Linked DNA regions of Saccharomyces cerevisiae S288C. The gene in region 2 interacts genetically with the main gene of each other region. Each region holds a gene or a part of one and is shown on either strand. Other genes may lie near its edges.

Region 1 (3,132 bases), on a different chromosome or scaffold from region 2:
ATGAAAAAAAGGAAAATTTTATTGGTTAATAAGAAACGATCGACTATGGCAAGGCCGCAGAAGAACCGGACTTGCTCAACCATTGGTCAACGACATCATCGCTTAAAGTAGCATCAAAGCTTTCGTCGACTTCGATAATGTGAATAGTTTTATCACTTGAATTAAAGATTACGGCAGCCTTTAAAGTACCATCAGTTGGTCTCTCGAAGTAATCTTGAGTACCACCATCTTGGCCGTCATGGATGTGTGAGATTAATTTATCAGAACCAGCGGTCAAAATTTCGAACAAATCCATTTCACCACAGCCAGTTTTCCAACAAGAACAAGATGCATCACCATATTGCAAGGTTCTTGGGATTTTTGCATTTAATAACCAAATAGCTGGCATATCTTGATTGTAGGCAGAACCGCTGGTGTCACTTGGCATAGAAAATTCGAAGACGAAAATTTTATCAGCCCCACCAAACCCATGATAAGCAGGAATGCCTTCTCTGTAATAACCACAATCGCCGTTATTACCGGAACATTCTTCACCGGAGAAAATCATGAATTCATTACCAGATTTAATGGTGACATCACCAAGAGCTTGAGCGGAGGCAGCACCAGAAACACCATCTGAAGCAGCAAAAGAGATGGAGTTACCGAAACAACTCGACCAGACACCAGAACCGGCAGTCCCCCCTTGGTTGTTCATGAATGTACAGTTGCTAGTAGAGCCTGGGACAAAGTAGGAACCTCTGGACCAGTCACCGTTAGTGTTAGAAGATGATGACGAAGATGATGAAGCAGCAGCAGCAGAAGAGGTGGTTTTAGAGGAAGAGATGGAAGACTGGCTTTCACTCGTTTCAACTGCTTGAGCACTGCTGGACAAAACAGTAGAGTCTTTAGTGTAAGAAGAAGGAACAGCAGGACCGACAACGGTATTGGTGGAATCGGCTGTGACTGTTTGACCATTACTGTCGACGTAAACAGTGGAAGTAACTTGAACATATTCAACAGCAACATCCCTCTTGTGCTGATGCTTATGTCTGGAGACAACAGCTTCACCTTCCTTACAGGACTCGATTGATTGTTTCTCTGATCTTTTCTTCAAAGCATTAGATTCACCATTTGGGTAGTAAACACCAAATTGTAGTAACTCGATCGGACCCCTGAAATGAACAGATAGTTCCTCGTTGAAGGGAGCCAAGCTACCAGAAGCAGTGAAATCAGCTTGGGTACAAGCACAAGAAGATTCATCCATATTGGTGACATCTTGGTAGGTAGCAGATAAACCGACGTTAGAGTAAATGATGGCATCGGTTTGAGCACAATAGTAATTACCGCCAGAGTAAGTACAATCAGCGTTCACGAGTGACACAACTGAAGAAAACAAACCGACTAATGCGGTCATGGAAAGCTTTTGTAACATTTTTTTCGTTCAAATTCCGTTAGGTTTTAGATATTTTATGGGGTGTAAATGGAAAAACGAAAAGGTGAGAAAAAGACGTTCTATTGAAGGAGTGACTAGAAGTTGGATAAGTTAGGTTGGTTTGAGTTTTGATTCTGGAGTCTTCTTGCGAGAAAAGAAATAATTATAATATAAAAAAAAATTGAATGGAGATAAGAAGTTTAACTAGCAAAGTTCGAGAGATATAAAAAGTAGAGATGCGAAAATAAAATTAAAACAAATCTGAAAATAATGGAAGTGAAACAAGGCTAAGCAAGAAAATTTTCTATATTGCCAAGACAGGAACGTTTGTGATGAATCACATCTGCATTCGTGGTATATTTAAATGAAAATCCCAAGTTTCGAATTTTCACGTTTGCTGTACGACGAAAAAGCGTGGAAAAATAAACAAAACCAGCACTAAATCGCCAACGAAAAAGGAAAGTCGCCAACGCGAAAAGAAAAGAAAAAGCGAGGCGCAGATCTCGTGGTATGTGATATCGTGTCTAATGACTTGACGTGGCTTTTTTTCTTGTCGCCATCTGCGCTTACTTGCGTTATATCAAATATAATTTCAGCACAGCATTACATGCAGAAATAGCAGGGTGCAGAGGTCGAAGTAGATAGAGGACAACACCTGCGATGGCCGTACAGACACCAAGACAAAGACTGGCTAATGCCAAGTTTAACAAGAATAACGAAAAGTATAGAAAATACGGTAAGAAGAAGGAGGGCAAAACTGAGAAAACCGCACCTGTGATATCCAAAACTTGGTTGGGTATTCTTCTGTTTCTTCTCGTAGGTGGTGGTGTTTTGCAACTAATCAGCTATATCCTATGAAGCAGTGGCAAATTGCATATATAAGTGTACAGTGGAAGCAAGTACGTAAATAAATAAGCGATTTCGAATAATAATAACAACAAGCATAAGGCAGTATTACCCGCGTTGTCATTTATGGATGCGAAAAAAGATGAAGTAATTCAAGTGCTATTGTGATTTACCATGCCAATCAAACGTGCAACAAAGATGAGTATGAGGGGGGACCCAGGCATAGTACACAGAAAAGCTTTGTAGACTGTCTTTGTTTTCTTAATTTTTCAAGTAGGCTTTCTGCTTTTCTTCTGTACTTATCGTATGCTGGGCCGGGCACTAATCAACAAGTATGGATTTTTAATTCATCCTAGGAGATTTGTACATTTAAACGATAAGTCCCTTGATGGAACATTTATACTACCTTCGAAGAAAAATCATATGTATGATGTTCCAACTAATGATCCAAGCGGTATCCTGAATGCCTCGGATATCGATAGAATCAATAATTTGCCATTTTTCGATAACACCAGTCCGACAAAAGAGACAAATACTAAGGAAGGAGCATTGTTGAGCGAAAAATTGGCCAGCGTTAAAGAATTATTTGGAGAAGACCCTGAAAATCCTTCGTTTATCAATTACAGATTCCCCAGAGGTTTAGAGAATCCCTATTTTGACATTCAAGTAAATCAGCTAAAGAAAAAACGATTATCCGTCACACAATTATGCACTACGCAGAATTGGTGCGAGTTAAGGAATTTTTACGACTTTTATTCTCAAAATTTGTCTAACCAACTACTGAACTTAAAATTTCAGGTGCAGAAAGGTAAAAAGATTCATAAATCACTAGAGGACGAAACGCATCCTGAATTAAATCAGTATAAAAGCTTTAC
Region 2 (3,584 bases):
TCGTTCTTTTTTAAAGCAAAATCAGGTAGATGTGTAGTATTAGGATGATGGTGATAGAAATGCTTGACATTTACTTTAAATCCAACTAAGGAATTCAGGTGTTCCTCCAAAAGATTTTCGTTATATGAGCGGAGGTTTAGTAGCTCCTCTGTTAATTGTTCGTTCGAAGTATCCTTTACCAATAAAGATTTATCCTCGTACTCAGGTGACAACGGCAGGGCTACAATATTTAGCACCGGTTCGTTAAAGAAGCGGCCACTTTTGGATCGTTTTTCTTCAACTTCGGTTTTAAGCATTATTTTGCATTTTTCCCATTTCGTATTACTTGAGTTAAGTAACTGCTCAACGTGTTTCAAAATATTACTGAACAGATTCATAGACATCTTAAATTCCCTATTAGCCACCAAGCAAGCAATTTTCCTATCGTCCCTGTCATAGTGTAGAATGTAGTCCTCCTCACCATATATCCCTTTTGTGATATCATTCTTCTCCTTTAACAAACTGTCGAATTTGCTGTTATACGAAGAATGGATTATATAATCTAATTCGTCCAAAGGTAGATATTGGAATCCAAACATCTTAGAAATATTGTGGTATGCAACGAAAATACCGTCCATTTTGCCAATTCTAGCTTGCAAAGAATACTTTAGAAGGGCAGACCTGATTAGTTCAAAATATTCTCTTTCCAAAGACTCAAATTCCCCATAAACTTTATCTATCTCATATCCAGTTTGGTTGTTATTACTCTCTACATGTGATAAATCGTATCTTATGGCAGAAACTGCTCTTGTCTTCAGATCAAATACACCCGTTCCAGGTAGATTTGGGTCGTACGCGTCCAATTGAGATCTCACAATGAATTCATCTATACTAGAATAGTGATAATTTTCACTTTTTGAACTATTCTTCAGGGACTTTTCCGTTAAAAAGTCTTCAAGATAATGACCTAGTACAGAAAGCACAATCTCCCTATCCAGACTTCTATCTGAATCAATAGAACAAATGCCATTTCTCTTCTTTCTCAGAATGACTGCTGACGGAAAATATGCACTTTCTGAATAATTGCAGTTTTTTTGAGGAAAATTTTTCGATATCGAGGAATCAATGATATTCAATCTTCTGAAATTGGATAATAAATAGTGCAACTGAGAAAGTACTGATGTCATGGAACTTGATGAAGATATGTACTTTTTTCTATGTTCTTTGGCAACCTTTAACAGAGATTCATCTTTGTGGGGTGTGATGAATATTGGCTTGCTTTGTCCTTCTCCAGAGGAGTCTGTGTTCACATCTTTTTCACTTTTCTTTTCCAAATACTCTGGATTAATATTTTCCACTGCAGGGTCAAAATTATACATTCTGCTCCTATTATCTCTCAATTTTTGTAGCGACAACGGTTGGTATAACACTCTCGTTAATCCATGACCAATCCTAGGAGGCTTTTGGTTGTGTTTTTGAACACCATCTTGATTGTAACGTACTAATGCGTGCCTAATCTTCTGGACATTTATCCGAAAAGTGTATGAATTGCTATCTGAATATGTTCTGCTAGCGGGATATGTTCTCCTAGCGGGATATGTTCTCCTACCAGGATATGTTCTTCTACCAGGATACGTTCCTACCTTTGTCCGCTCCAAATACTTATCATGTCTATACTCCTTCTTTATATTTGTTTTCAGTAGATTAATCGCCTTGTCCATTTCTTCCGTATATTTTTGTCGACCTCCCTTTTCCTTGTTTCCAATGTCCTCTACAGTCGAATTTGTGTCATATATTTCATCGACCATCTCTAAAGCACTATGCAGGTCAGAACGTAGCTTGTCTGGTGTTTCTCTTCCACTAGGGGCATTTGTGAGAGCAGCGCCAAAGTGATAAATCGATCGCTGTTGATAGCTTTTAGCGGCGCTACCTATTCTGCAAGGCTCAACAGATAGACGTCTGGACAGGAATCTACAGTTGTAGAACCCCATTATCAAAACTATAAAAGTATCAGGTAGCGTTTGGCTCTTTTTTGTGCTCTCTCAAGTGCCCTGTTTATATTATATTTTTACATATTTGTTTCTTTATTAACCAACGGCATTGACGGAAACGCGCTTTATTATGGACTACTTTTTTTTCACTGTTTCCTGTTTTTTGACGTGATATACTCAAAGATGAGCGATTGACGATCTGAGAATTCTATTTGGGAACTCTTCTCTGCTTTGAAGACATTTATTTCCCAGCTGCCTTTGAAGTAGTTTCACGAGCGCTAGTGAAGTTTTTTCATAAATATATATTCCCAATCATCGCTAGGAATTATGCGCGTTTTTACTTTGATTGCGATTTTGTTTAGTTCATCTTTGTTAACACATGCATTCTCCTCTAATTATGCTCCTGTAGGCATATCATTACCTGCTTTTACCAAAGAATGTCTTTACTATGATTTATCCTCTGATAAAGATGTCCTTGTGGTCAGTTACCAAGTTTTGACAGGTGGGAATTTCGAGATAGACTTCGATATTACCGCCCCTGATGGCTCTGTTATCGTCACTGAAAGACAAAAGAAGCATTCTGATTTTCTACTGAAGTCGTTTGGTATAGGTAAGTACACTTTCTGTTTGAGTAATAACTACGGCACTTCCCCAAAGAAAGTTGAAATCACCCTCGAAAAGGAAAAGGAAATTGTTTCTTCCCATGAAAGCAAAGAGGACATAATCGCAAACAACGCCATCGAGGAAATTGATAGGAACCTGAATAAGATCACCAAAACAATGGATTATTTAAGGGCTAGAGAATGGAGAAACATGTATACTGTGAGTTCTACTGAGTCAAGATTAACATGGCTCTCATTACTAATTATGGGGGTAATGGTTGGTATCAGTATAGTGCAGGCATTAATTATTCAGTTCTTTTTTACCAGTCGCCAAAAAAACTACGTATAGGTTGCTTTTCAAGCTCTTAAAATTGTTGGATCAGCTGTGCTAAGGGGAAGGCACTTTTTTGTATCATGATCCTATTTTTTTTGTTATTTAATTATTTATGACATACCTTTATACTTTAGTTTTCAAAAATCCAATAATAGATAGGCAAGGTTTACGGAAAAGAGTGGAGTGCAAAATAAATAGAGGAAAGGCAGAAGGAAGAAGGAAAGCGAAAAGAAAAACGAAGATATATTTGGAGAAAAGTATAGAAATAATAAAATGAAGACACATCGATTGAAGTATGCTCAAATGATGAGAAAAAGAGACCTTTATCTCAGGCCACAAACAACCATTGTCCAAGTGGCTTATCTTTGCTATAGTTTTGTTCGAATATTCGGGGATTCTATCTTTGGTTTCTTCAACAAGTTGACCCCATTTACCAGTTCTTTTTTGCTCTTCATATACTGCTGCTCTTTTGAAATGTGGCATGCCCTAAACTTCCTCACTTCTTCGAGCTTGTAATGAATTGCTGTTTCACTGTATCTCGCTGTCACAATCATTTTCGTTCTCTTCATTTAATGTGTTATTCTCACTTGCTGTGTTGAAACTGTTTCTTAATTCTGGGTTTTTGATTGTGTATTGGTCCTTATCATTGTTAATCCTTAGATTTTTTACATATTCTTC

The links. Genes that interact genetically often act in the same process or in processes that back each other up.
Region 1: mutations in ERP4 (region 2) and YSY6 together harm fitness more than expected from each alone (negative genetic interaction), as found in Saccharomyces cerevisiae (one large-scale study listed by BioGRID).

Annotation. Positions count from the first base shown.
Region 1 is NC_001134.8:563,160-566,291, forward strand, and holds YSY6 (Ysy6p), read left to right. Parts: upstream 1-2,071; coding exon 2,072-2,269; downstream 2,270-3,132. Other genes in the region: TOS1 (Tos1p), read right to left, coding at 44-1,411; EXO5 (Exo5p), read left to right, coding at 2,564-3,132. UniProt on the Saccharomyces cerevisiae protein: Interacts with target proteins during their translocation into the lumen of the endoplasmic reticulum. Protects unfolded target proteins against degradation during ER stress. May facilitate glycosylation of target proteins after termination of ER stress.
Region 2 is NC_001147.6:359,798-363,381, reverse strand, and holds ERP4 (Erp4p), read left to right. Parts: upstream 1-2,297; coding exon 2,298-2,921; downstream 2,922-3,584. Other genes in the region: PET127 (Pet127p), read right to left, coding at 1-1,970; YOR015W (uncharacterized protein), read right to left, coding at 3,030-3,389; protein phosphatase 2A regulatory subunit RTS1, read right to left, coding at 3,435-3,584. UniProt on the Saccharomyces cerevisiae protein: Involved in vesicular protein trafficking.